Linked DNA regions of Mus musculus. The protein of the gene in region 2 purifies or fractionates together with the protein of the main gene of each other region. This does not show direct contact. Links are inferred from orthologs where the notes say so. Each region holds a gene or a part of one and is shown on either strand. Other genes may lie near its edges.

What was found.
Region 1: the proteins of Mex3c (region 2) and Ap2a1 purify together in Homo sapiens (affinity purification with mass spectrometry; 3 studies listed by BioGRID, with this or other methods). This does not show direct contact. The link is inferred for Mus musculus from reciprocal best matches to the Homo sapiens genes MEX3C and AP2A1.

The regions. Positions count from the first base shown.
Region 1 is NC_000073.6:44,905,413-44,909,213, forward strand, and holds part of Ap2a1 (AP-2 complex subunit alpha-1), read right to left. Parts: intron 2,421-3,801; coding exon 2,312-2,420; intron 2,018-2,311; exon of another isoform or gene 1,831-2,017; intron 1,573-1,830; coding exon 1,422-1,572; intron 1,068-1,421; coding exon 899-1,067; intron 817-898; exon of another isoform or gene 797-816; coding exon 659-796; intron 456-658; coding exon 273-455; intron 1-272.
Region 2 is NC_000084.6:73,570,991-73,575,551, forward strand, and holds the start of Mex3c (RNA-binding E3 ubiquitin-protein ligase MEX3C), read left to right. Parts: upstream 1-1,714; 5' UTR 1,715-2,053; coding exon 2,054-2,786; intron 2,787-4,561. UniProt on the Homo sapiens protein: E3 ubiquitin ligase responsible for the post-transcriptional regulation of common HLA-A allotypes. Binds to the 3' UTR of HLA-A2 mRNA, and regulates its levels by promoting mRNA decay.

The DNA.
Region 1 (3,801 bases), on a different chromosome or scaffold from region 2:
AGCCATCCACTCCCTGTCACGACTGACTGCAACCCCTGAGCCTGTGGAGCAGTGCACAGGGAGGAATGAAGGGGCCAGCTCTCCTGCACAGATGCTGTGTCTGCTTCACGCCCCCTGGGAAGGTACCATGGCTGCAGCTCCCACGTCCTAGGGTGACTCAGCCAAGGCTGGCTGAGCAGGAAGCTGGCACCTGCTGGAGGGGCAGACGACTGCCCAGCTGCTCCTGACTGGCAGCCGCGCTCCATTACGGGGTCAACGCGAAGGCTGCTAACCTCAAACACTGTCTTGGCAGCATAACCCTGGACGTCATCACGGTTGGTGACGATCTGCAGCACGCGGTACCACACCTCCTCGCTCACATAGTCGCCCGCGATGCGGATGAGGTTGAGGATGGTGTCCACGTACCAGCTGTAGTCCACTGCATACTTCTCAGCCAGGATGGCCACCTTCAGCACCTGCGATGGGAGGTGGCGATGTGTGAGGACAATCATGCCCACGGGAGGGTGACTACTGCCAGTCCTGGATCTATGATCATGGCTGGCCCCATCGTAACACCCAGGGGGGCTCTCCCTCCCCAGACTCCTCCTTCAACCTAAGGGGCCAGACCCCAGCCCTCCTCCCTCACACTCAGGTGTCCAGCCCTGTCCTCTAGACTCACGATCTCCTCTCGGATGGCATAGTCAGCAGTCTCCAGGTACCGCAGCATCTCTGACACAATCTGCTTGGCATTGCTCCGGTCACACATGGCATACAGGAGATCAGCCGCCCGCTGCCTCACACTGACGTCCCGCTCCGTCTGAGGAAAGGAGAGCAGGAGTAAGCTGGGATCTAAGCTGGTACTGGGCCCACTGTAGGCCATCAAGCACCAGGCCTCTCTGAGTGGGGCAGAGGGCTGTACCTTGAGGGCATTAATAACTGTATCAATGTGGGTCTTGACGGCCTCGTGGGAGAACTCGGAGCTGGCCAGCGTGCACATGCTCTCCAGGGCCAGGTAGCGCAGGTTAGTCTCCCGGTGCTGCAGGAACTGGCCCAGCTGGTTGCAGGCGCGGACCAGGAGGTTGGGCTCACTGGCAGGCACAAGTGAAGTGTACATGGAGACAAGATGTGAGTCTAAGGATCCAGTTTCTCACTTCTGCCCACCCAGCATCCTACTGGGTCCCTCCTAGGAACCCTCAGGAGCCCAGATAGAGGGAAGCACTAGAGTGGGGATACGGCCAGTGGAAACCAGCCCTGACTTCAATCCTCGGTAGGCAGGATTAAACTAACAAGCTAAGCAGCCAGCTGTTCTGCAGCCACCGCAGGGGACCATTTCACACCTGTCCTCTGCCCAGGCCCTGCTGTCCCTCAGCCCCAGGTGTTAGATGCCAGCCTCCCTTCCACAGGCCAGTGGCCCCGCCTGCCCACACCTCTGCCCACAGCACCTGTCATAGTGGATGATGAGGCTAATGGTCTCAAAGAGGATAGCGTTCTTGGCGTTGGAGTGCTGCACCTTCTTGGACTTGGGAGGCTCCTGGGCCTTGTTGAGCACAGTCTCCAGACACTCCACTAACCGCCCTTTCACGGCTGCATCCTCTGGGGGAGAGAGAGGGAAAGAGGCTGAGCCCTCTGTTCGGTGGGCTCCAAAGACTGCAGCCTGCTCTAGCTCTCACCGTCCATGGAGGGGCCCAGCTGTCTTCAAGCCTGGCAGTCCCAGGCTGGGCCTCTGCCTTTTAATGTAGATCAGCAATTTCTAGGTCTGGGCTCCTACTCATTCCATACTGACTCTGCTTGGCATGAGTCTCCACTCCTGTGAGCCTCAGTTTCCCCTTCTGCTGCACTGATGTTCCTTAGGTTTCTCACAGAAGGATGGAAAACCCAGGAGCCTATCCCAGAGCCACACGGCACTCAAGCTTTTCCCAAGGAGCTACCATAGAGCTCAAGAGACGGACTCTGAGCTACCACCCGCGAAGGCCACTGCACACTGTTTGGGTGCCAGGGGTTATGAGTTTAACAGAAATAAAGCTGATTGGAGTCCCCAGAGTGCCTCACTGCTGCAGGGGAGGGATACTAGGCAGAGCCCAGCTGCACAGGACAGCTGCTAGGCAGAGTGAGACAACGGCCCTCTGCTGGAAAGCAGCACACTAACCAGCTCACTCCACAGGACCGAGAGCTACGGGCCTAAGACAGGACGAGTTGTGCCACCCCAGGTGCTGCATGGGGCAGGGCACCAGGCTGTGCCCCCCACTCTCACCCATAGCTTTCCACGAGTCTGGAGGCACAGCCTCGCTTAGGACAAGTGGGAACATGGATGCTGGCAGTCCATGGGCCTTACCTGGTGGTGGGTAACACTGGAGCAGCCGCAGTAGCTTCACAGAGAGCCAGGGTGCAGGAACGAAGTAGTAAGTGTAGTCCTGGAGGTCAGTGGAGGCTGAGGAGACGATCTGCAGGAGGAAAGAGTGATGGGCGGGTAGACAGAAGCAGCAGAGGGGCCTGTCCCCTGAAGGACACACGGTTACGACAGGACACCACGGGAGTCAGGTTTGACAAGAAAGGGGAAGCCAAGGCCTGAATATAGGGTGGCCTGAGGGTGGGACCAGAACTAAGCCTGACGGCCTCAGTCAAGAGCCTCCTGCTTCAGCCTCCTGAATGTGTGCACTGTGCCCACCACCTCACTCGCTTTTCCAAGCTATGCTGGTAACAGTGGAGCAGAAGTCTCTGCTAGTTCCCTGTGTGACAGTCTCTAGGGCAGGCTACAGCCTCTCTTACTGCTGGGCTCTACCTCTTACAGCCTGAACCACCATGGTTCCTGCATTCTCAGCACAGAGGAACTACTGAAGTGACGAAGCTGGGTCTCATCCTTCCTCCATCCCTGGTCAGAAGATCGAATGAAAATCACTCCTCAGGGTACCCTCTGACTCCACCTCGAAAATCCTCTGCAAGCTGGGCAGTAGTGGCAAAAGCCTTTAATTCCAGAACACCAGAGGCAGAAGCAGGCAGATCTCTATATGTTTGAGGCCAGCCTGATCTACAGAGCAAGTTCCAAGATAGCCAGGACTATACAAAGAAATCCTGTTTCAGACAAACAAACAAACAAAAAACCCAACAACCTTCTCCAGGAAGCCTGCCAGCGGCTGACAGTGACCTCATCTCTGTACCCTGTTGGGCCTGGCACCTAATGCATTCAGATGTGTGGTAACTAGGGGCTTGAATGGTAGGCATAGGTGTTCCTTCTCCCCGAGGACTGAGACACTTATGGCCTCCCGGACAGCACTTTCATTTTTTTCATTCTGAGTCTCCATTTGGATTGCCATCCCCAGGAGCTCTCCTGTCTCCCAAACTGGACTAGGACCTCCGCGAGGTGCCCATGATGCTGACACACAGCCCTTGTTGGCAGTCTATGACTGAGTCACCGTCCCCGTCACACTCCCTCTCAGCAGGACAGGGCGGCCCTAAGGTCTGACTCAGACATAGAGAGCCAGGCACACAGAAGGCTCGGGGCGGCGCTCTGGGGACAAGGGTGGAGGTGGTGGGAGGCAAAGGAGGGATGTGTAGACAAACAGGAGGAAGAAGAGCAGGCAGGGGAGCTGTCAGCACCTTACCACAGCAACCATGCTGCAGACCGCACTGACACCAGCCCCTGAACCACACAGGAAAAGAAGCAAAGAGAAGTGAAGCCATTTGCCTGGGGGCACACAGCCCGAGGAAGCCAATGCAGAGTCCTGGCTTCTAAGCACAGGCTGGCTTGCCTTTTAGGGAAGGGAGGAGAGACAGATATCACAGACACAGGGGAGCCAGACCCTCCCACGGCCAGTGTGACAGCAC
Region 2 (4,561 bases):
CCCGGGGACAAGTTTCAACTTGATAACCTATTGACTTTTAGAACTAGGCCCCTAGCACAGGTATACTAGATCAAAATATTTAGACTATGCCTCTTCCTGTCTTTGAGAGTGGTGGTGGTCATTATCTTTAAAAAAAACATGGCGGGGCAGTGGTGCCACACGCCTTTAATCCCAGCACTTGGGAGGCAGAGGCAGGTGGATTTCTGAGTTCGAGGCCAGCCTGGTCTACAAAGTGAGTTCCAGGACAGCCAGGGCTACACAGAGAAACCCTGTCTCGAAAAAAAACAAAAAATAAAAATAAAAACGTGATTTCCCTATGTGTAGCTAGAACCAGAGATAATCCAGAGCCCATTCGCTGAGAGCTGTCATTACAGACCTAGCCACCAAGTCAGGTCTTTCTGTAATACCTTTATATACAGGCGGGGTTGGGAATCCATGCTCCACAGCTACATCTACAAACGAGCATTTATGACAGCTAGTGCGTGAAACCTTGGGGTAACAGGGAAGGTTTAGTATTAGCAAAAATTCTCCAGCCCTTTTGATTAGAGATGGAAAGAGATTTCTGCAAATGGCTTAGATCACAAAATAGCGAATGGAAGGCATTAATTCCGCTTTCTTTATCGTACTGTGGTGGTGGTGGTGGTAAGAGCCAAGAGTTGTATCATGACAAACTGTACGCAACAAGGTGTAGAGAATGAATCCAATACAGTGGGAAAATGAAGATACACTTCAAACCTCAAGAGAACTAGATTTTTTCGTGGCAAAACGTACTTGAAACGTGTCTGGTGTGAAGTAGGTGTTATATTAATAACGGGGCCACTAGAAACTTTAGGGCTCCATTGTTGCTATAATTCTCTCACTTAAACCAGGCGGGAGGTCTAGGCTAACGTGGAAAGGCTTAGTTGGTACTAAAGGGAGGGCTTGTAAGGCTGCAGGAAGACGAGGACAATCCCAACTCATTTCCTTTCAAAAGCCCCGAGGACTTAAAATTCAGCTCTCCCGGCCCCAGACTAAGGAAGCAGCGCCGCGAGGGAAGTTTGGCCGGCCGGGCGTGGGCGGCCAACCGGAGGGAGGAGCAGTCCCGGGGAGAGGCAGAGAAGGCCCCGGAGCCACGCGGCTCAGGAAACCACCCCCGCGAGTGGCTAGGCTGGCACTCCGGCTCCGCCTCCGCCTCCGCCGGTTCGCCAGCCTGAAAGGCAGTGTCGCTTCCGCACACCGCCCAGCGGCCCGTGCTTGCAGCCCCAAAGCCCGGCTTCTCAATCGGTGCGTTCCCTAACACCGCCCCAGACAGACCACAGAACGGGAAGCACCGCGAGAAGGAAAAAAAAGATCCCGAGTCCGCGCCGGAGGCGCACGCGCCTGCGCAGACATCCGCTCCGCCCTCTCTGCTTCTCGCCTCGCGCGCCTTCCTCCCGCCCCGTTCCCCGGGCGCCCGGCTACGTCACAAAGAGTGGCGTGTAAATGGAACAATCTAGTTGCTCCCCTCGAGAGCACGCCCCGCAAGAGGAGGGCGGGGCGGAGGGAGGGACGGAAGGAGCCGGCTTCGAAGACTGGCTCGTTCTCGTCATCCAATCCGAACGGTCTGGGGCGAGGCGGGGCGGGGCCCATGAAGAGGGCGGGGGTGGGGCCGAGGGAAACGAGCGAGAAGGCTGCGGGACGAGAGGGCGGGCTCCTCCCGGAGATTAAAAGCAGCCAATCAGAGCGCGCCGGCTTCATTCGGAGAGCGGCGTGGGGCGTCGCCGCCGCCGCCGCGCGCGCCGGGGGCTGGTTAAGGCCATGAAACAAAAGAAACCCTGAGAGGGGAGCCGCTGCCGTCCCCACCCACCCACCTAGTTCCCTACCTCGGCTCCGTTCCCGGCCCCTCCACCCCGCCCTCGCGCGCTCCGGCGGCCCTGGCGCTCCTCAGCCCGGGGCGCGGGCGCCGCCGCCTCCCCCGAGGAAAGGTGTTTGCGCGCTGAGCAGGGCCGGGGCCCTGTCCGCCATGGGGCCGGCTGCTCGCCGCGCCTGACGCTCCCGCCGCCGCCGCCGCCGCCATTGACAGCGCGCCGCCGCGATGCCAAGCGGCAGCTCCGCGGCCCTGGCCCTGGCCCTGGCGGCGGCCCCGGCCCCCCTGCCGCAGCCGCCTCCGCTGCCGCCGCCGCCGCCCGCGGGAGGCCCAGAGCTCGAAGGGGACGGGCTGCTGCTGAGGGAGCGCCTGGCCGCGCTAGGCCTCGACGACCCCAGCCCGGCGGAGCCCGGCGCCCCGGCGCTCAGGGCCGCGGCGGTGGCGGCGGCGGCGGCGGCGCAGTGCCAGGCCCGGCGGGCGACCGGGCTGGCTCCGGAGGAGCCTGGCCGCCTCGCGACCTCCGAGACGGCGGAGCTGGAGCTGGAGGTGGACGAAGAGGAGGGGGAGGAAGCGGAGCTGGACGGAGAACTGCTGGAGGAGGAGGAGCTGGAGGAGGCAGAGGAGGAGGACCGGCCGTCGCTGCTGCTGTTGTCGCCGCCCGCGGCCACCGCCTCCCAGACTCAGCCGATCCCGGGCGGGCCCCTGGGGTCGGTGCTGCTGCCGGCCGCGGGCTTCGATGCCCGGGAGGCCGCGGCGGCAGGGGTGCTGTACGGAGGGGACGATGCCCAGGGCATGATGGCGGCGATGCTGTCCCACGCCTACGGCCCCGGCGGCGGCGGGGCCGCCGCTGCCGCCCTGAACGGAGAGCAAGCGGCCCTGCTGAGAAGGAAGAGCGTCAACACCACCGAGTGCGTCCCCGTGCCCAGTTCCGAGCATGTCGCTGAGATTGTCGGACGCCAGGGTGAGTGCACGGAGGTCGGTCGGTCTGTCTGTCTGGGCACGGCCCTGGGCGTGGGTGGGAGACGGAAAAGAAAGACGAGCGTGCGACAGAAGAGTGAACCGAGAGAGTCCCCCAAGTCCACCGAGAAGGGGTCTGGGTCGCCGAGAAAGGGACCGGTCACCTTGCGAAAACCCACGCCGTTCCGCCTCTTCAGCCGGACAAGAAGTGTTAAGTTTCTTGGGCCACCCAGTCTGGTGTATTCGTGGAACCCCAGGCTGGCGCGGCCCCAGAAACCTCAGTGAGATGGTGAGGTCAGGTCAGAAGTTGTGGGTCACGGAATAGTTTCCGAGAGCTTCGAGATTTGGAAGTTTGTGTAGCCGAGTGGCCGGTAAAAAGCAATCGGCCTGCCTTAGAGCTGCTTGTGCTGAGAAGTGGACCGACATGGAGGCATGGGCAGCATTTGAGAGGGAAGAGATGTTCAAGTGGCCGGATCACCTCCTCCCTCCGCTATTCAGAAACTTGGCTTTAGAAGCGCACCCCAACTCTGTTGATCTTAGGTGCTCAGTGTTCTCATTTCTCTTTTCAAAAAGCGCTAGTGTCAGTCTTTTAGAACACTTTAGCCTGTACCGTGAAGGGAAAACTGGGCATTTGGGTAATTAAGGAACTTTATGCGTTAGTGCAGTTTTCGATAAATTTTCTTCACTTGCTAGCACACCCGTTCCCCAGACAGACTCCTCCCACATTGTTCAGACAAAGGACCTATGTCTCAGATTCCAGGAGTAGGTTTGTGAAGGTGGGGGAAGGGGATGCACAGAGTACCTTGGTATCCGACATTTTTAGGGAAGGTTCTGTTTGCTTCGGTGTAGGTTTTGCCCCGTTTTACTACCTGCTGCTGCTGATGCTGTAATACAACATGGTTGAAACTTGCCTCTTGTTGAGGTCAAATATGGCACTGCTGGTGGAATGATCTCATTTTCCCAAGTGGTCTAAAGTACACATAAATAAGAGATTGGTGACCTCACATGTAAGAGGTGGCTCTCGTTGCTAGGATTTTGATTAAAAAAAAAAAGCCTATATGGTACCTAGAAAGAAAGAAAGAAAGAGCTTGTTTCAAACTGTTTGACTAATCAGTTTCACATCTCACTTGCCAGTAGGAGCTGATCAGGATAATAGCTCATGAGGAAATTTTTATGTACATGAAATAAAAATGCATTTTATTTATAGGTCCATAATGAGGTGGCTTTTCATTTAATATCATTGAAAGAGTGCTTGATTTTGCTGGTTAATGAGTTTATGAAAAGTAAGTAAACTAAAAATTTGAGGTTGATTTATACAGAATTTCTGCTCTTTATTAAAAACTAACCATTTAATAGAATGGCACGAAAGTAATTACTTGAAGGCAATACACACAAGAACATACATAGAGAATGCAACTTAGCAAACAAAGATACAAGTATTGAACAACATGAAGAAAGTGTGGAGGAGACCTGCTAGGTGGTGACTGGAAAATACCCAAATTTCATTACTAATTAGAATATGGTAAACTGGAGGGGGGGGGAAATGGCCTGGTACGGGATTGTTGAGGCTGTGGAATGTAGAGATTTGAATGGCATAGTGGGAAAACAGCAGAACTTAATTCAGTGTTCATGTGCTTGTGTGCAAAGCACAAGAGAAGAAAGAACGTTTGCTCCGTAGTTTTACCACGTGACAAGGTGCTGTCTGTATGTTGGTAGATTGAGTTTAACATGAACTTTTGTCCTTTGCATTCTTAAGCACCTTAACTGTACATGGGTAGT